Linked DNA regions of Rattus norvegicus. The protein of the gene in region 1 interacts with the protein of each later gene in a biochemical or structural test. Links are inferred from orthologs where the notes say so. Each region holds a gene or a part of one and is shown on either strand. Other genes may lie near its edges. The genes, in order: Sema4d and Cd72.

The links.
Region 2: the proteins of Sema4d (region 1) and Cd72 form a complex in vitro, tested with the Homo sapiens proteins (2 studies listed by BioGRID and IntAct). The link is inferred for Rattus norvegicus from reciprocal best matches to the Homo sapiens genes SEMA4D and CD72.

Annotation. Positions count from the first base shown.
Region 1 is NC_086035.1:13,659,527-13,670,415, forward strand, and holds part of Sema4d (semaphorin-4D precursor), read left to right. Parts: intron 1-30; coding exon 31-124; intron 125-1,726; coding exon 1,727-1,840; intron 1,841-2,699; coding exon 2,700-2,851; intron 2,852-4,023; coding exon 4,024-4,199; intron 4,200-4,284; coding exon 4,285-4,441; intron 4,442-5,463; coding exon 5,464-5,686; intron 5,687-6,912; coding exon 6,913-7,028; intron 7,029-10,035; coding exon 10,036-10,208; intron 10,209-10,280; coding exon 10,281-10,324; intron 10,325-10,889. UniProt on the Homo sapiens protein: Cell surface receptor for PLXNB1 and PLXNB2 that plays an important role in cell-cell signaling. Regulates GABAergic synapse development. Promotes the development of inhibitory synapses in a PLXNB1-dependent manner.
Region 2 is NC_086023.1:62,488,096-62,497,911, reverse strand, and holds the end of Cd72 (B-cell differentiation antigen CD72), read left to right. Parts: intron 1-2,060; coding exon 2,061-2,212; intron 2,213-2,767; coding exon 2,768-2,883; intron 2,884-4,095; coding exon 4,096-4,243; 3' UTR 4,244-4,248; intron 4,249-4,419; exon of another isoform or gene 4,420-4,447; 3' UTR 4,448-4,757; downstream 4,758-9,816. Other genes in the region: Tesk1 (dual specificity testis-specific protein kinase 1), read right to left, coding at 4,982-5,868, 6,375-6,504, 6,619-6,708, 6,831-6,914, 7,074-7,164, 7,309-7,391, 7,719-7,865, 8,371-8,419 and 2 more. UniProt on the Homo sapiens protein: Co-receptor of B cell receptor (BCR) that plays both positive and negative roles on B-cell functions. Recognizes the Sm/ribonucleoprotein (RNP) self-antigen ligand, and coligation of CD72 and BCR inhibits BCR signaling.

The DNA.
Region 1 (10,889 bases):
GTTAGATGTTTTCTTTTTATTCCGTCGTAGAACTTGACCTCTTTCAAGTTTCTGGGGAAAAGCGAAGATGGCAAAGGAAGATGCCCCTTCGACCCCGCCCATAGCTACACATCCGTCATGGTCGGTGAGTCCTGCGTCTGAGGCTCCTTCAAGCTCTTGAGTTTATGGTGGCTTGTGATGTTGCCACCTGGGCTTCTCAGCTCTTCCCTCCTCAGTGCCGCCTTCCTTGGCTTCCTTTTGACCCCGAGCTCCCTTCAGAGAAGGTGAGCGGCACACGGCATAGACTCCTCAGGGAGAGCTTTTGAGTTTATCATTCAGCCGGAAACTCAGGCCCCACTGAGGCATCGAGTGCTTCTGTCAGTTGTTGTGCTCACCAGCTGGATGCTCCCTGGCTGCGTGCCTCCTGCTGTGGTCCATCTGAGGCTGGGGGGGGGGGGGGTAACACGCTGTTGTACAGACAGTTTACACTGGGATGACGGTTCAGGCTTCACTGTCAGTGTATAATATCTAGTGAGCTTTGAGGTATTCAGTACTATATTATAAACTTTTAAAAAAATTTTATTTTATTTATGAGTACACTGTAGCTGTTTTCAGACACACCAGAAGAGGGCATCAGATCTCATTACAGATGGTTGTGAGCCACCATGTGGTTGCTGGGAATTGAACTCAGGACCTCTGGAAGAGCAGTCAGTGCTCTTAACCGCTGAGCCATCTCTCCAGCCCCCTAGGTACTATATTATAATACAGGCGTCGTGAGTGACACTTCTGTGCAGTCCTAGGCTAAAGTGTGTATTCTGAGTGTACTAAAGTAGGTGAGGCAGGGTCCCCAGTGGAGGAGTTAGAGAAAGGACTGAAGTAGCTGAAGGGGTTTGCTACCCCCATCAGAAGAACACAGTATCAACCAACCAGACTCCCAGAGCTCCCAGAGACAAAACCACCATCCCAAGAGAACACAGGAATGGACCTAGGGCTCCATCCACACATATAGCAGAGGAGGGGCCTTGTCGGGCATCAGTGGGAGGAGAGGCCCTTGGTCCTGTCAAGGCTCGATGCCCCAGCATAGGGGAATGTCAGGGCAGGGAGGTGGGAGGGAGTGTGTGGGTGAGTGAGGGAGCACCCTCACAGAAGTGGTGGGTGGGGGATGGGATAGCGGGTCTCTGGAGGGGAAGCCAGGAAATGGGTTAACATTTAAAATGTAAATAAAAATATGCAATTAAAAAATAAATCTTTAAAAAAGGGATAAAATAAATAAAGCAGGTGAGGTTGGACCACGCTACCTGGCAGTGTAGGGGCCTTACACATCTTTTTCGACCTACAGTGCTTTTTACTTAGGATGGCTTTCTGGGGTGTCAGACACTGAGGAGTGTCTGTCTGCTGTCTCGATACTGACTGCGGGGAATTCTCATTTGTGACTAGCTATTACCGGTTAACCTGGAAAAACACAGTTAAATTTGGTGACTGTGACTGTTCTGGTGAAAGGCGCTGAAGTAGGGAGCAGAAATTCGTATCGCAGAAGACGGGGAGGCCCCCTTCCCAGCAAGGAATAAATGAATTATGGCAGCCTGGTAGGGGTGTGATAGCCCGGTGGAGGTGGAAGCATGAGGCTTGCTTACGGGCCAGCCTGGGCTAATGTCAGAACTTGTGTTAAACAGTTGTCCCCGGTCTCCACCACAGGCAGAAAAGCTCTGACTGGATCCCCTTCTTGATTCCCTCTTTACCACCGCAGGGGGAGAGCTCTACTCTGGGACTTCATATAATTTCTTGGGCAGCGAACCCATCATCTCTCGAAACTCTTCCCACAGTCCCCTGAGGACAGAGTACGCCATCCCTTGGCTAAACGGTAAGAAGTGGGTGCTGCCAGCCTACCATTTTATCGTTCCTCTGGCTGTCCCCGAACCACGGGGGATGGGGGCTCATGTCAGATCCTAGGCAGTGGGAAGGAACCCTTTGGAATTGCCCGAGGCCCACACCAGAGTAGCTGTCTCGCTCACTGCTAACAGACAGCATTGTTTAAATCTGGTACTGTCGTACCCCAGTCTACCCCATCCCCACCCCCAAAAGTACAGTTTGGGAGCCTTTAATAAAACGAGGCTGTGATGGGAAGTGGAGAATGTAGATACCGAGTCTGGGGTGTGATCTTAGATGTGGAGCCTCCGGGGTCTGGTCAGGAGGTGTTGAAATGTTTCTTTACTGCCAAACAAGATCTTCAGTCTGACTTCAGGGTGTAGATGATGGGGGCCTTTTGTCGGGTGTCTTTTCATGGGGATGCTGGCCAGTGATACTGGGCATTTTTTTTTTTTGAAGCCCTTTGATGTGGAGTCAGACCCTGGGGTCTGAGATATGAGACAGCCAGTTTCTCCTTGGGGCTCCCCAGGAGTCATAATCTCGGCATCCTTCCAGTGGCTGACACTGGCCGGTTTGTCCCTTGTTTAAATCAGCAGATACTCTGGTTTCCCAGACCACTCGCCAGCAGGGAGGCCTCACCTGGCTTTCTCTGTGGCTACCTTGGTGAAGCTGAGAAGGGTGGCAGGCATCATCTGGGCCTGGAGTTCCCGTGTGACACGCACTCTATAGATGTCCTAGAAGGGAAGCCGCCAGGTGCTAAGGCTGCGCTTGCTAGCCTGTGGTACCATGGGGAGCAGGTAGAGGGGTGGCACGGTGGCTCCGTGTACAGAAACGATCCTGATGCCACTCCACAGAGCCTAGCTTCGTCTTTGCTGACGTGATCCACAAGAGCCCAGATGGTACAGAGGCTGAGGATGACAAGGTCTACTTCTTCTTTACGGAGGTGTCCGTGGAGTACGAGTTCGTCTTCAAGTTGATGATCCCGCGAGTTGCCAGGGTGTGCAAGGTGGGTGCTGCCTCCCCTGTCCCCACTCACACTCCTGCCGTGGATGCTGCCTCTCCAAGACTCCTCCCTCTGGAATCGCAGCCTTATCCTATGGGTAGAGACCCCGGTGGTAAAGTTTCATGGATAGTTGAGGCACAGTAAGAGACTCAACAGTGACAAGTGATAAAAGATAAGAGATTTGTGTGAACGGTTTCTCTTGACTCCCGGAGTAGGATCGGGAAGATGGCTTAGTGGTTAAAGTGCTCGCCACGAAAGCAAGAGGAACAGAGTTCAAATCTCCAGAACCTATAGATGCTGAGTGAACCCCCTGTAATTCTGACTTAGAAAAGTGGAGATAGGGTCTCACTGGAGCCAACCTGCTAGTGGGACTCTCCTCGTTGGCAAGCTCTGAGTTTGACTGTGAGACTTTGCCTCAAAGAATAAGGTGGATGGGACCTGACATCAACTTCTGGCCTCCATACCCACTGAGACACGAACACTCATGTAGAAGTGCACCATACACACACACACACACACACACACACACACACACACACACATACACACACACACACAAAAGGAAGGAAACTCAAAGGGGAAAAAAGAACCAAGGTGAGCATTTGTGGTATTTTCAGTATGACTAGTCACAGGGTAACTGAAATTGCAGGAAACCAAGACCACTCACACGGGAGCTGGCTTATTTCTTTCCAGCTCACGGTTGGGTGCAGTTGGTAATTGTTTCCGTTGTCTCCGTTGTCGACTCACTGAAAAGACTCAGGGCTCTAGAGCTTTGTCTGGAATCAAGGAGGCAGAGAGGGCAGGAAAGGAGCTCTTAGTGGACACTCAGATGTTTGCCCAGAATGGTCTGTAGGGCTGAGGTCTGTGGTGGGAACGAGGCCACCCATCATATGCTTATCTCCCGTGTGCTCCTCCCTGGGTCACAGCTGGGAAGGCTGCAGGAGCCAAAGCCAGTGGCACGCTGGGGTGACACAGATGTGGTTGTTTTGGTTGTCACTGAATGTGCCTGGCTCTTTTCTCGTTCTGTGACCCTGGCCCACATGGAAGTTTGCTTTGGTGACATGGCTTGTCTGCAGCAGTCTTGGGCTGGGCTGGTGGCTGGGGACATATGGACGCCTGCTTCTGTGGTTGGCCATCTGTGCTGCCTCTACTGTGTACTGTCTCTGGAATTCCAGGGCGACCAGGGCGGCCTGCGGACTTTGCAAAAAAAGTGGACCTCCTTCCTAAAGGCCAGACTGATCTGCTCCAGGCCAGACAGTGGCCTGGTCTTCAACATTCTTCAAGATGTGTTTGTGCTGAGGGCCCCGGGCCTCAAGGAACCTGTGTTCTATGCGGTCTTCACCCCACAGCTGTGAGTTAGCTCCCTTGGCACTTGGGGCCTGTTCACGCCGATGACCCCCTGCCCTCCTGACGCGCTCACGAATTCCCCTCCACAGGAACAACGTGGGTCTGTCAGCGGTCTGTGCCTACACGCTGTCCACGGTGGAGGCCGTCTTCTCCCGAGGAAAGTACATGCAGAGTGCCACAGTGGAGCAGTCTCACACCAAGTGGGTACGCTACAATGGCCCAGTGCCCACTCCCCGGCCTGGAGCGGTAAGCAGGGTGTCAGGATCTGGGGAGGGCTCATCTTTTCTCTGGATCTCAAGGCCCCACGCATGAAACCACACAGGTCCCAGAGCCTCCTAGCAGCAGGTTGCATGGCAACAGGAATCTGGGCGCCGGGCTGAGTGGCTGTTGGGCCTAGGGTGAAGAGTGAAGCTATTCTTTTCTCATTTCTTCTGTGTTGGGTAACAGGTCTCACTGCCTGCTGCCCGGACGAGAAAGCGTACCACCGGGCTCTTTTGAGAAACGGGCATTGCACAATGGCCGGCTTGCTTCATTTTCTGTTTCCCGCAGAGAAAACCTGTTTGTCAGCATAGCCTAGGCCGTCTCCTGAGCCTGCCTGTCAGCTGGATAATAGGAACCATATTCTTTCCTCCTAGAGACAGTAAATTTGTAAAGAAATTTCTAGGGTTGCTGAACGTTGTTGCCACACTGTGAGTGGGCATGGGGCAGGGTGGCGTTTGGATAGCACCCTGTCTGGCTCTTGAGGCTCTCCCAGGTCAGACCTCTCTGTGGGTGTCTAGCCTTGACCCCTGGTTATTCTTACCTGCGCGCTGTGTTCAATGAAACATGGAGAGAGGGGGCTGGGACAAAACAAAAAAAATCTTTCCAACCTTGTTTTCTTTCGTGCTACCTAGGTAGAATTTGGCTCTGTGTGTGTGTGTGTGTGTGTGTGTGTGTGTGTGTGTGTGTGTGTGTGTGTAAAACAATATTTAACAAGCTTCCTTTGGCACACTTTCTTCTCGAGCTCTCTTCTCACAGAAAAGCTGCTAAATGCATGCTTTTTAATTTGAGAAGTTTGCTGAGTGTTTTCATTGACTACTAATTTCCTTCACCGACCCTGAGACAAGTATGTCACGTGACTGTGATTTAAAAATACAGCTCTTTGTTTCTGGGGAAGCCACCTTCGCCCGTTAGTCTTGGGAGAAGTGTGACTGGGGCCCTTCAGGGCTCTTCTTCTGTGCTCCGTTGATGCTAAGTGGGTGTGTCTCCACGGTGCTTTTACCCCACAGTGTATCGACAGTGAGGCCCGGGCAGCCAACTACACCAGCTCCTTGAATCTCCCAGACAAAACGCTGCAGTTTGTCAAAGACCACCCTTTGATGGACGACTCGGTGACGCCAATAGACAACAGGCCGAAACTGATCAAAAAAGATGTCAACTACACCCAGATAGTGGTAGACAGGACCCAGGCCCTGGATGGGACCTTCTACGACGTCATGTTCCTCAGCACAGGTGGGTTCCCGGGTGAGATTGGGAAATTCGCTTAGTCATTTGTGGGTAAGAGCTGGTCTCTCCAGGTGCAGGAAGGCTTGTGACAGGAGAAGAAGTTTCTGAGGCATCACAGCATCTGGAATTCTGAATCTCCGTGACTATCAGGCACCTCAGGGGCTGGTTACTAATGCAGGCTCCACACCATACCTGGGCTGGAGTGGAGTTAAATAGTCCCTGTTGTCCTGGGACCAGTGGGGTGGCCTGGTATTTCCGAATTGGTAGTGGGAGACTCCACCCCTACTGAGACTCCACCCCCTTCTGAGACTCCACCCCTTTCTGAGACTCCACCCCTACTGAGACTCCACCCACTACCGAGACTCCACCCCCTTCTGAGACTGCTCCCTTCTGGGAGCCAGGGTCCGTCCCGCCCTTAACTGCCTTTGGAAGCACAAATCTCGGACAAGTCTTCTGGGATGGTGATGGAGAGCTGGAGCTTGGCAGATGCTAGAGCCCCGGGGGCTACCCTTAGAGCTTCCCAGGTGGCTTGAACACTTTGCCCTCGCTTGCCTGGCTGGGCCCTAACCTCCCCAGTGGAGTGCAACAGCCACCTTACACCGAGTGTGGCTCAGGTGTCAGGGTGTGATCCTGTTGATGAAGGTCATTGGACTCCACCATGGGACAGAGCTGTCCTCTTTTGAGTGAGCGCCCCATTGAGGGGGTGACTTTGAGCGTGAGTGGTCGCCTTCAAGGCTGGAGTCTCTGCTGGTTTCATTTCTGTTGCCGGGCAAAATTAAAACGCCCCGACAGAAGCACACCTAGGGGAAGAGGGTTTATTTGCCTTTTATGTTGGGTATCGTCTGTCATTTTGAGGGAGTCAGGGCAGGAACTTAAGCAGCGAGTCACGTCATATTTGTAGTCTAGAGCACAGAGAAATGAATGGACCCTCGTTGTCCGCTTGCTGTGTCGCTTGCTGGGATACCTCTGCCTAGCTAGCCAGCTCTCTTCACTTAACATTGTCCACGGGATGGTGCCTTCCACAGTGGGCCAGGCCTTCCCACGTCCGTCGACAATCAAGACAGTCCTCCACAGACCTTTCAGCAGACCAAACAGATCTAGGCCATTCCTCAGTGGAGGCTCTTTCCAGACGATTCCAGGTCGCACTAAGTTGTCACTTAAAACTAACCAAGGTGGCGCCCTTGGCATTTCCCTCTAGGACCTCCTTGCTCACCTGTGTTTTGACCTTGCAGACCGGGGCGCTCTGCATAAAGCTGTCATCCTTGCAAAAGAGGTACACGTGGTTGAGGAGACCCAACTCTTCCAGGACTTCGAACCGGTCCTGTCTCTGCTGCTATCATCAAAGAAGGTAATGTGGTCTGAGGGGCAGGTCCAGGCGCTTGTCTCCCTCGGGAGCTTCTCTGTGACTAGGACTAGATAGGATGGTCTCTCAAGGCTTGGCAGCCTCTGGTCTTCCTGGCCCGGGTGAGCTGACCTTTAGACTCTCAGCAGTCTTCCATGGGATCTGAGGCCTGGGAGGAGGACGGTAGAGCCAGGGAGGTTGATGTGCTAAGCCCCTAGAGCTTTTAGGAGGTCACTAACCTGGGAAAATGTCTTTGTGCCGTGAACTTGAAAGAATGCAGACTGTGCTGCTGGGACAGGACACTCATTTTTAAGGAGAAATAGCAGGTCACCCTCTAGAGCTCCCATTGCCACACCATCCTGTGTATCCAGCTGCCTTTGCAGAGGCCTCAGTCATGGTCGCTTGGCTCTGCACTGTGGCTCCCACAAAGCCATGGAAACACATAGATGACCAAACCTGCCCTTGAACCCTTGAAGCCAAGCTCTGCGTCACCTGAGGTTTTCATAAGAAGCTTCAGCCAGGTAGTGGTAGTGCACACCTTTGATCCTGGCACTCGGGAGGCAGAGACAGGTAGATCTCTGTGAGTTCAAGGCCAGCCTGGTCTTCATAGTGTGTTCCAGGCCAGCCAGAACGATGTAGGGAGACCCTGTCTTCAAACAACAACAACAACAACAGCAAATTAACTAATTAAATATTTTTTAAACCCCTGAATGGAGCACAGTGGTTCTTCATACCTATAGTTTCAGACCTTAGAACATGGAAGATCAAGAGTTCAAGGCTAGTCTTAGCCACATCACAAAATCAAGGCCAACCTGAACTAAGTGAAACCCCATTGCAAAAGTCAAGTGATACACAAAAGTCCTTTAGGTGGTGGAGTCTATAGAAAAGGCCCAGGGGCTGGGTTTGGTTCACTGGCTGGAACTTGTTTCTTATCCACTGGCCTTGGGAAGGCCTGGACACCACATTTTACGTCTAGGATAGAGCAGTGAGATTCAGAATGTGGGCTGTCTCCCAGTCCTGATTATGCTATGCTGCCATGTGACCCTGGGCGTCACTGTGTGATCCTCATAAGGTGGTCTCTCTGTGTGTAAGCTTCTCATTAATGTGACTGTGAGCATGTGAGCCTCCTGGGTGCTAAGGACGGGCTTTGAGCAGCACTGAACCCAGGGACAACTAGGAGCAGGATCAGCGGCCACCTGCCCTGCTTCATAGCTGCTGGCCAGAGGTGCTCCCCTCTCCTTGCTAGGACTGTGCTGTAACCCACTGAACAGATGGGTCCAGGGACACACTTATGGCTTCAAGTGTCTCTGATGCCTGCCTCTGGGACACTGCTGAACTCTGTGGCCTGGTGTTACCTTTCCCTGTGGACTGCACATCTGTGGGCTCCATGTCTGCTGTTCAGTTCTCTTTAGGTAGCTGGCCACGGCAGATACCCAGGGCCCATCAGTCTCACCCGTGTGCTGGCCTCCTGCCAGCGCCAGGTACGGTGCTGACCTTGGCCTAGCAACCACATGGTACGCTCCTGTCCTGGAAGTCAGAGCCTTGTATGTGCTAAGCTCTGTGTGGTTACACACGGTGGTGGGGGTGGTATGTGTGTGGAGGGAATGGCCTATTTTTGCGGCTCTGTGCTCACAAATGCAGGCAAATGGGAAATCAAACGGCAGTGTCTCTTGCTGGGTTAAGCTTGATGGCCTTCCGTTTGTTCTTTGCACGACGTTGATAGACGTGGTCACATTGGCCTGCCGGATTCAGAGATGAATGATAAGGAAGTGTCCTTAGCACAGGTACCTACTGTCTGTCACAAGACAAGGCTGGCATTTAAAGGCTCTGCCCTGTGGCTTCCAGCTGCAGTGCTGCGTCACCTACAGAGAGTCCAGGAGAGCAGTGGGGGATGTCAAATTAGGAGTGGGAAGCAGCTGAAGAGGTCTGTTACATGGGTTTTCTCAAGACACAAATGAAAGTCTCTTTACCCCAGGCAGGGCACTGAGGACAGACCAGTCCAGCTCAGCGAGCCAGTGAGTTATGGGGGAGTTAGCTACAGAGGAAGAGGGAGGGTTGATTTACAAGCCCGTGGGTGACTCAGAGGCAGCTGCATGGACAGCCTACCCCAGCATAAGTGACATTCACAAAAGCTGCAGCGAAGGAACTCCCTGCACGACTGGTAGGCAGCTCGGCAGGACAGAGCCCCGTCTCTGACAGCACTTGTGTATTGCTTATATAGCCCTGACGGAGCGGGAGCTTGTGAATCTTATTACTTGTCAGGCTTCCTAGATTTCCTTTACTGAGAGTCTTGTGAGCCTCCCTCCGCCCTCCGGGAGGACACGTTTCAGTTGGGCAGAAACAGGAACAGAGTTGTCTTTTCTCGAAAGAGAAGCTACTTCGGGAGGGACTGCAGTACGCCCCGCCACAGGTCTAGCCCCAGATATGGAAGGGTGGCATCAGATCTGCAATTCCTTGGGTGGTGTTTGAACCCTCCTGGGGTACAGGACACCCTATATTTCCATACGAGATTTCTGTCTTAGTGTGCTTTTTTTTCTGTTGCCATGATAAACCACTCTGACCAAAAGCAGCTTGGAGAGGAAAACGTCTGTTCCGGCTCAAACATCCAGGTTGTAGTCTGTCGTTGAGGGAAGCCAGGGCAGGACCAGAGACCATGGAGGAAAATGGCTTATTGGCCAGCCCTCCTGGCTTCTGCTTAGCTACTGTTTTACAAAGTCTAGGACTATCTGGGTGCCATCCCCCACAGCAGGCTGAACCCACCTACCATTACCTAGCAAATAAGAAAATGCCCCACGGACAGGTCCTGGGTTGATCTGATGTAGGCAATTCCTCAGCCGCAGTTCTCTGCCCCGCAAGCGTGTCAAGGTGACAATGAAAACTAATTTCAGGACACTGTCGTTTAGGCCAGGGAGTCTTTTCCTCCCTGCAGTACTTGAACGCAATGTCTTCCCAGTCTCGGGACTTCCCAGTGCCCATGTCCTCCTTACACCTGCCGTCTGTCTCTCATGCACAGGGGAGGAAGTTTGTCTATGCTGGCTCCAACTCAGGAGTGGTCCAAGCTCCCCTGGCCTTCTGCGGAAAGCACAGTAGCTGTGAAGACTGTGTGCTAGCACGGGACCCCTACTGCGCCTGGAGCCCAGCCATCAAGGCCTGTGTTACCTTGCACCAGGCAGAGGGCTCTAGCAGGTATGAGTATGGTTAAGACTATGTGCGTGTGCCCGGTGCACAGGCTAGAGAGTAATGTGCGCTGTCTTTTAGGGGCTGGATTCAGGACATGAGTGGCGACACGTCCTCGTGCCTGGGTGAGTGGATCTCCTTTGTTTCCGCCCTTGGGTTGGCAAAGTTCCTGGGGCGTCAGTTCCGCGGTGTCCGGTATCCCTGTACAACTCGTTTTCCTCCTCTCCAGACAGAAGTCAAGTGTCACGCAGCAGACCTGGTGGACCTGTGGTCTTTCTCTGTCCCTTTGGTTACAGAAAGAGGGCTCACAGCCACACGGGGTATATCGGTTCACGGGAAAGCATGCCCTGTCCCACACCAAGTTCTTCTGTTCCGCTTAGCGGGGCCCCGTAGACAAAACCCGAGCCTGCTAGGAATTGAGAAGGAAGGAGTCCTTGGGTATGGTTTGATAGCCCTAACCTAAAAACAGCACTCAGGAACAGTGGGGATCAGTGTCATGCTTCGAGGAGCAAAGTCTTACCCTAGAAAGTAGTATCTTGACGCTAGGGAGACGGCTCCATTGGTAGGATCTGAGTTCGATCCCCAGAACCCATGTAACAACTGGGCATTGGTGGTCCATGCTTGTGATCCCAGCCCTAACGAGGGTGAGGCAGGTGGGTCCCTGGAGCTGCTGGCCTCACACAGCCTAGT
Region 2 (9,816 bases), on another chromosome or scaffold:
AGATAGCCAAATTACAGACACCAGTCTGCGTGCACATGTGTAAATGTGTGCCTCTCCCCTCCCCCAACCCCTCTGTGCATGTAAGTGTGTGTTACACTCACATGTTTGTGCATGCACAAGTCGATGAAGAGACTCTTCACTGAAGCAGGGTATCTTATTCAAACCCAGAGCTCATCAATATGGCTATAGCCAGCTTTCTTTCTTTCTTTTATTTTTTTAAAGATTTAATTTATTAATTATATATAAGTACCCTGTAGCTGTCTTCAGACACACCAGAAGAGGTCATCAGATCCCATTACAGATGGTTGTGAGCCACCATGTGGTTGCTGGGATTTGAACTCAGGACCTCTGGAAGAGCAGTCAGTGCTCTTAACCACTGAGCCATCTCTCCAGCCCTATAGCCAGCTTTCTGTGAGGATTCTTTGACCCCACCTTCTACTCACTTGGCATTCACTTGGTGTCTTAGTTACTTTTCTATTGCTGTGACAAAACACCAAGACCAAGGCAACTTGTAGAAGAAAATCTTTAATTAGCTTGTGTTTTCGGAGTGTTAGAGTCTGATGGTAGAGCCAAGGCACCAGGAACAGCTGAGAGTTCCCATCTTGATCCACAAGCAGGAGACAGAGAGAACTCACTGAGGGTAGCAGGAGTCTTTTAAACCTCAAGCCTAGTCTGGCCCCACCTCCTTCCACAAGGCCACAGTCACTAGTCCTTCCCAAACAGTTGTATCAATTGGGGTGCAAGCATTCAAATAGATGAGCCTATGAGGGCCATTCTCATTCAAGTCACCACACTCAGGTGCTGGGATCTTAAGTTTGGTCCTCATGCTTGTGTGCCAAGTGCTCTAACCACTGATCCAACCCTAGTTATGGGCAAATCCTTCAAAACCACAAATCTGATCATGCTGTCCCTGTTGAGGCCATGGCATTCTTATTAGTTATCCAAGCAGTAATGGGGCATAAATACACTCGAGCGTGTGCCCAGACACAGGTATGGAGAGAGAGCACACAATTCCTTGATGTGAAAGTCAACAGTATTGTTCTCTTCCTCTTAATAGAACAATAAAATCTTGAGACAGACATGGTGACACGTAACTTCAGCATTTAAGAAGCTCAGGCAGGAGGATGAGGAAATTGAGCCCAGCCTAGGCTATATCTCTCTGTCTCTCTGTCTCTGCTCTCTCGCTTTCTTTCTCTCTCATTGACATGGTTCTCAAGGCTCTGCCTACCTTTAGATATGTTTATCTCTCACTCTCTTCAAATCAGTCACACCCAACTAAAAAAAAAAATTCCTTTAAGTTGCCACAGCACAGAAAAATGGGAGAAGCTGGATGGAGACATAAGAAAATGTAGGGGAGAGAGAGAGAGAGAGAGGAAGAAAAGAGAGGAGAGGAGAGAGGGAGAAGAGAGAAGGATAGAGACAGGAAGACAGGAAGAGAGATAGCATGTGTGAGAGACAGAGAGAGAGTCCGGCGGTGGACAGGGAATGATTTCTGAATGTTGGCTAGGTCTGATAAGAGTCGTTTGTGATCAAGAGCAGAGTGGGGCGTTGGATGTTAAAGAAGGATTCATTTCTTACAGGTAATCCGGAAAAGAACAGAGATCAGCATTTTTAAGTAGAGAAGTGGAAATGGAGAATATTCATAATTTTTAGAAAAGCAGGAACCAAGTTTGTCTGCTTACAGAGTTGTGGAGAGAGATGTGGCCACAGGCTGGAGGAGTGTGGCAACCTCTGAATGTGTTAGGGATTAAATGGAATGAATGAGTGAGTGAATGAATGAATGAGAAGCCCATTGATCAGTGTGGGAGCTAGGCAAGGTTGGCAAGTTTAGGGCAGATTTTAATGTTTCAGAACCCAGGGACAGTGTACTAACTCCACTAGGAAATTCTTCCCATGTTATTAAGGAGTAAAATGTTTTCAGAAGAGGCAAAAAGATCGCAAAGATCAAGGACTAAAGCTGACAAAACCGACATTGAGAGCAGACCCTTAGGGTCAATCAGCTGGCCAATTAGTCAATTTACCCCAAGAGTTGTGGCTGTCATATTCTTTCTGCTTTGTAGACACCTGCTGTCCAAGTGGATGGGTTCAGCATGAGAAAAGGTGCTTTTACATCTCAAATACCCCCAGAAGTCTGGAGGAGAGCCGAAAATACTGCACATCTCTGTCCTCCAAACTGGCTGTGCTCAACGAACCTCCTAGGTATTCCCTACAAGTGAGCATGACCTTATCTATATTTTGAGGTGGAGGTATGTAAAGAGATGTGTGCTATCAAGTCAGGAATGGCAGTGCACATCTGCACACAAGCCATGGTTTACATTGCTTCCCCAAGACAGATATGGAAGTCACACTATTAGCCAGTAAGTGTGGCAATAGTTGGGCATTCTCACTCCCGTGATATCCCATGGCTCCTATTGTTTAGCATCCGTGAGAGCTGACATGTCTGAGCCATCTCCACTTCAGTCTGTCTTGGCTTGCTGGCCTGCCCCTTGCCTGCTTAATTCCTCATTGACTCCTCTCAGGCCGAGTGCCAACCCCCTGACACTCATCTGAGACCGGAAGTTCACAGGCTGACTCCACTTCCCTGCTTGGAGGGGAGATGGAGAGTGAGCCTGTGTCTGGTAACACTGGAAGGATAGATGCAGGAGCAATTAATTAATTCATGTACTAAGTGGGCGTGGCCTCTTGCTAAGTGAAATTCATAGGCCCCTAGGGTGCCCCCACTTTACTCTGTATTCTCATTGTTCTCTTACCCCTCTGAACCCCCTAGGATTCTCTGCCTGATGGCTTAAAGAAGTTGCTAGATCGTTCAAAGTCATATTGGATTGAGCAGATGAGCCATACTGTATATTATCCACAAAACATGAAGAACATGAAGGGGAGGAGGTATTGTCATCTCAGTTTTTTTTTTTTTCTTTTTTCTTTTTTTTTTTTTTTGGATCTGGGGACCGAACTCAGAGCCTTGCGCTTGCTAGGCAAGCGCTCTACCACTGAGCTAAATCCCCAACCCCTGTCAACTCAGTTTCTTATAAAGGCATATTACTTCCTTAAGTCCTGCTCCCAAAACTCCCCCACAAATCGGTATTGTGGTTTCTTGTTTCTTTTACTTGATTAACATATTAACTTGTTTAAGATATTAAAAACAAAACGTGTTGGTGGAGGGGTGCCACAGGGCAGGCAGAGGACGGCTGTGGGGGGCAGTTCTCTCCTACTGTGTGGGTCTCGGGGACTGCTCCCAGGCTGTGGTGCTCACCTGCTAAGTCATCTCACTGACGTGCACCTTACTCCATACTCCATCCATAGTGCCTGGAGGTCTCTAGTGCATACTTACATTACAATGGCATTTTCCTGTAACCCTAGCACTCAGGAGGCTGAGGTAGGATTGTGAGTTAAGGCCAGTCTGGGCTACACAGCAAGACCCCTTCCCACATCTCTAAAAACAAATTAGGCTGAGAAGCGATTTCAGCAAGGCTTCTCAGGCAGAGGAGTGCTGGCATTGACCTAAGCCTTGACAGGCTGCCCAAACAGACAGCTTGCTTAGTCCATGCCAACTGGGGCACTAGACCGGTCTCAGGAGAGGGCAGAGTAGCTGCAGTTTTGCTCCAGGGACCCCAAAGCAGGGCGCTACTTCATGTTCCATGGGGTTTGAGGTCTGTGACTCCTGGGTGCTGTAAAGGTGCACGAAGTCACACCCAACTCCTTACGTGCAGCTTTCCTCTTTTAAGACTTGGGTGAGGGCTGGAGAGATGGCTCAGTGGTTAAGAGCACCCGACTGCTCTTCCAGAGGTCATGAGTTCAATTCCCAGCAACCACATGGTGGCTCACAACCATCTGTAAAGAGATCCGATGCCCTCTTCTGGTGTATCTGAAGACAGTTACAGTGTACTTATATATAATAAATAAATAAATCTTTAAAAAAAAAAAAAAAAGACTTGGGTGAGTTTTCCTCTGTGGCCTTAAGGCCTGTGGAGCTGAAGTTCAGAAACCTGTTCCTGAACCATGTGGCCCTAGCAGGTCATAGGCTTTGGACTAGGTTTTACAAAGAGCAAGGGAAAGGAGGGACTTGCAGACTCTAAAGTATATCCCAACTCTTCACAGGTCCGATTCTCATTCTCAAAGCTCATGTTACCTGATAAAATGTTACCATTCATGGTGGTATGAAAGCTCATACACGTGTACAGACCTTTTCCCCTGCATTTGTGAGCTGGAGGCGCTCAGGTTTCCTGATGGGATCCATCTGAACTGAAATGGGTAAGCATGAGGGAGATGAGGCATGGGTGTGTGGACAGAGGCCCAGAGGACTTTGTCCCCTCGTTTGTCTCATCCCCCACCTCCAGTGGCTGTCTGCTTACACAGGGCCAGGCGAGGCAGGGAACAGAGAGGAGCTGGGGAGAAATAGGATGAGGGCTAATGAAGTCAACTGGAGCTCACTGGTGCTTTATTTTTCCAGACACTTCAACAAGACCTTGTGACCTACATCCTTAACCTATGGCCTGCCAATTCTCAAGACTGCTATTCCTCCAGCACTCCCTCACTCTTGGGCACGCCCAGCTAAGGGCTGATTCTGGTCTGGCGACCTGCTGCTTGCTTGAAAGCTGCTCCAGAAACTATTCTTGGGAAGAGTAAAGAAGCCTCCAGAAAAGACTTTGACCTTCCTTAAGAACTTCCCGAACTAGAGATGGGTCAGGGGAGGGCGCTCCGCTGAGTGGATGGATGGCCCGGAGCCAGCCAGGCAGTTTTATTGAAATATTTTTAAATAATTTGCACGTGTTAGTCTTGTGTGTCAGCAATGCTGTGTCTAGTCCAGTGATCCCAGGGGTTGGACAGGAAGTGCTCTGTCCATTGAGACCATGCTGAGGCTCCCCTATACGGGGAGAAGAGCCAGTCAGCCCATCTGGGGCTGGCATTGTCCAGCAAGTGCACTCTGTCCTTACAGGGTATCCCGAAGGCCAAGGTTGGAAGCCTGAGATCACAGGCCTCACTGCTAAGAGCGTGCCCCAGGCAGCTGCAGGCTGGGTGTGGGTGGCTTGGCATGATGCCCTCGGTGGCAGAGAAGACTGCCCGCCTCACAGTTCAAGTTGCGGTAGCGGGCAACAGCTGGGGTAGGGCGGGGGCACATGGATAGGAAGCCAAAGCTGAAGGGGCTGAGGCAGCAGCCAGGGCAGGGAAGCCCCTCCTCCTGCTCCCGGGGAGCTGATGGGGGTGGTGAGGGTTCTGTCCGCTCCAGGGCTGCTGCCCGGGGAAGGCTATGCTGTGCCCGGTTCCAGGGCTCCCTCGCCCATCCTTGTGGGGAATTCACCACCACAGCAGGGGGGTTATTATTGAGGGAAGGTCCTGGTCTAGCAGACCAGGGCTGAGAGGCTGAGGAACACGTACTGATGAAGTTGTCAGTGGCCACAGCCAGAGGCAGCTGGGGAGCCGGCCCTGGGGGCTCTGGCTCAGGGCTGCTGCCCTCACAGTCCATCCTTTCCTCAGTCGAGGGGCCCACGGGGGACGGGCCAGGACCTGGCAGTGCAGTTTCCATCCGTCGGGGGAGCTCAGGGGATGAAGGGAGTGAACGACAGCGGCGGACGGGAGTCTCAGGCTGGACCAGGGACTCTGGAGAGGCCACCAAGGGCAGCTGGGTAGAGGTCAGTGGTGATGGTGGCACCAGGGGCAGTGGAGTGGCCGGCTTGCAGGGTGTGTCCAGAAGTTTGATCTTGCCACCCCTGAGGTCTTCCCGCAGTGAGAAGGGGTTGACTCGTGTTAGATTGTCCCCCCAACTGGGGGGTGATTCTGGTGAAGGTGGCAGGAAGAGGTCTGACCGGCTTCGGGAGAGCCGGGGGTCTGACCTGGGAAGCGTGGCAGAGGGACCTCCTCTTGGAACAGACCCTGTGGAAAGAGAGGTGTGAGATCACTGTCCTCAGCATCTGTGCAGAGCTGAGGCCCTCGATCCCCAGGAAGGTGGTGGGACATGAGCTTAAGAAAGGGAAGCCTACAGGTGCTCTGGAAGGGATGACTGTTATTTCCCGCTACCTTGTTTAGTCTGTATGAACCACAGGACACTGAAGTTGTCAACTGAGGTCAGAGGTCAGAGGACAACTTTCAGGTGTTAGTTTTTAGCTTCCATGATGTAGATCCCAGTGATGGATCTCAGGTCCTTATGCAAATGACTGAACCTGTTGAGCCATTTCACCAGCCCCTCCAGCTACCTTTCTACCGCCCTTTTCTGCTTCCTTGGGCTCTAGCAATAAAAACCCATCTTCTATGAGATGCCTCTCCACCCTCCCACCTGACTGCCTACCTTTTAACTCATAGATCCAATTAGCCTCCTCCAGATAACTGATTCTCAGGAGAGGCAGAAGGACTTCTGCTGGGTCAAGGTCATGCTCACGTACCCTGATTGTATGTCAAGGGAGCCTTGGCAAGGGGCATCTTGGCGAGGGGCGTGGGCTCAGGCAGCTGCTCCAGGATTTGTTCCAGGTGCTGGGTAATTTCAGTAAAAGGGGCACGGGCGCTGGGTTCCATCTGATGGATAAAGACAGCTTTGCTCAGGGCTCAGAAGATGGTGAGTTTCCTCCACTATCTCCCCAGACATAGAAGACAACTCATGGTTAGGGGCAGGGCAGGGGTAACACTTACGCTGCAGCAGTGGATGGCCAGAAGCAGGAAAGGTAGCGGACAGTCATTTCCCACCAGAGTTCGAAAAGCAGGCACATCCAGACCAAAGTCCTGTGGGGACAGAGGAGGGGCTGCCAAGTTAGCCTTCAGTGGGCTCTCCTTGTGCCCCACTGTGAGAATCGACCCCACAGAGCCCTTCTTGGTTGAGGCACATACAGTGGAGGTTACTTCACCTCAGTACGGGGTAGGTAGTCAGGGTCTGCAGGTACTCGGGCGATGAGCTCACAGAGGACAATCCCAAAGGCGAAGACGTCGGCCTGGAGGGAAGTGGGCCATGCCAAGGGGGAGGAGTCAGCACTTATCTTGGGTTGGAAGGGTGGCAGTGAGGGGTAAGGGGCAAGGCCGGGGGCTCCACATATATAACAGAGCTGTTGGATGGGGGCTCTCAAGGTCTCTGGGGGGCTTGAGGCTCTTACCTTCTCATCATACAGCTCTCCCCGCAATACCTCTGGGGCCATCCAGTATGGGGAGCCCACCACAGCCAATGGCTCCTTCCTTGCCCCTTCCCTGCAGAGGCAGGGTGGTCAGAATCTTCTATTCAGACATCCCCAGACGAAAGGGGATGGGGTAAGCCTCCTCTCCACCCACAGAAAGCACCACTGGCGTAGGGCAACCCTGGGAGGCTCCGGGTAAGAAGGGTGGCCATCTTACCTATACACAGGGATCTTTTCAGCCAGTCCGAAGTCACCCACAACAGCTGTGAAGCCTCCGTCTTCCCGTCGGACCAGACAGTTCTGACACACACACACAAGCATCCTCACACACCCATCCCCTGCTCTCTGGTCCTCTAGTATAGACCCCAAAGCCCCGTGTCACCACAGCACTAAGCACTACTCCAACCTTCCCTCCCGGTTCTCCAAGGCACCTCATCATTGCAGTATCACTCAGCAGTCAGTGTGATACTCAGTTCCTCAGCCCTCCTGCTGTCCCCGTTCTTTCCAATGCCTTGGCACCCCGACATTCTAACATATCTTCTACCCACATGCCAACATCCACAGGCCAATTACAACTTAACAGCTCCAAATCCTCTTTCATCGTTCCACCCACCTTGGCCAGCCTACCTTGGATGTGAGGTCTCGGTGAAACACACCTTTGGCGTGTAGGTACCGTAGGCCTTGTGCAATGTCCAGTGCTAGGTGGAGCCTGACTGGCCAGGAGAGGGGTTCTGGGGAGCTCAGCAGCTGTTCCAGGGTACCCCCATTCATATACTGGGACATAGGGGAAAGAGAAGGGGCTTCAGTCTGTATTCTATGTCTGCCACTCCTGAGAGAGTTGACACTCAGGAGGCTCACAAAGAACAGATGGGTGAGTCTGTGCTCTAAGGTTCCCATTTATATACTAGGCTGCCCTGTCTCCCAAGGTAGGACTATGTGCAGCTATGTCATCCAATACATTTAAATACAATCAGACATTCTTCTGTTACACTAGCTCTTGCTTTAGGCTACTCCATGTGTAGTTAGGGGATCCTGTGTTGGCAGGCCAGCACTGTTCCCAGGGATATAGACGGAATAACTCCAGCTGAGGATTCTAATAAGTGGTTTGCCCAAAAGAGAAGTTCAGGAAGCCTCCAGTTGGAGGAGGTCCTGAGGTCCTGGGCAGGCAGGTGGCTTCTTTTTAATTTCCTAGCAGATCCACCAAGATCACTGACTGACACTTTCACTTGGAGGTGTGGTGCCTTCCTTCCCTGTTTCCTGGCCTATGCTCAATGCTTACCTCTGTAAGCGCGTGCAGCTGCCCTTGGTGCACACAGACCCCCATGAACCTGAAAGTCGATGAAAAGGATAGGATAGGCTGTAAGAGGGGGGTGGCGTGGGGGACCGCATCTCCCTCCTTTCCTGAGGGAACTTTCCCTCCCAGCACACAAGCTGCCCAGCAAGAGGCTAGGCCGTTCACCTGAGGATGTTAGGATGCCGGAGCCGGTTCATCAGCTGCACCTCCCTTAGAGTGTTGCTCCGGTTACTGGGGAGCTTGTTCATCTTCAGCACCATGACTTGTCCCGACTGTCGGTGCCGAACCTGGGGGAGGCAAGGATTGGTGTGTGCCCTGCAGGTTAGGTGGCTAGCCCTAGTCGGATCTCTTAACCCAGGCTGTGGGCCCCTAAGTTCTAGCCTCCCGTCCAAGGCTCGGTCCCGCCCCTCTGTCCTCTCTGCGAGTCCTACCTTATAGACCTCAGAGAAGAAACCAGCCCCGATCTTCTCTGCGCAGTCGAAATCGTCCACGCGCGCCAGGCTGGACACGGCGCTGCGGAGGGCCCGGTAGGAGGAGGGCCGGCCCCGGCCCGGGCCTCCGCCTGCGCCCCCCGGCCCCTCCACCGGAGTCTCTCCGGGCCCGGGGCCCCGCAGCGGTGGCCGTTCCCCGGCCATGGCCGGGCCCCCAGCCCCGGCCTGCTTCACATGGCCGGATCCCCGGGACCCGGGCAGGCCGCGCTCGCCATGGGCGCCGGCCCAACCTGATCCCGGGTGCCGGGACTCCCGCCCGGCGGACTCCGGGAGGACCTGCCGAAGGTCCTGGGCCCGCCCCCGCCGCGCCGGCGAGTTGGGCCTGGTGGAACGCCGCGGCTCTCCGCTCTGCGCGGGGCCTGGGCCTGGGCCTGGGCCGGGCGGCGGCGGCGCTCCCGGGCGCCGGCGGCGGGCTCCCCGCGGGCGGCTGCTGCTCCGCTTCGCCGCCGGGCTCAGGCTGCGCGGCCTGCCCGGGGCGGGGCCGGGCCCGGTCTGCGGTTAACTCCTTGGAGCCCGAGCTGTGGCCCGGCCACGCCCCCTCAGGTGCGTCCCGGCGCGTAGGCCGGGGCGTGAATAACAGGACGACTTAAGGGTTGACTGCAGGCGCGAATTCTCCTGCGCCCTGGGCTCCACGGATCAAGCCCGCTGCCTGCCCAGTCTGCGCCCCACTCCGACTGCCCATTTCAAGGGGCTTCTGACCCCGACACCCTAAATCTCGGGGCTCGCTAACACCTGTTTTCTCCGGTCGTGGTACCCAGGGCTGTAGGGAGCCTCTGGCCTCCGCATCCCTGACCTGCCCCGACCCCTCCTCACTCCATCTCCATTCCCCTGAGTAAAGTTGAGATTCCTGCGCTCCGCCCGGTGACCACCCTCCTACTTCTTTGTCCTAATAACCCTCTTAGGGGAAGCCTGCACCTGCAAGAAAGTCCCGCCCTCCGTC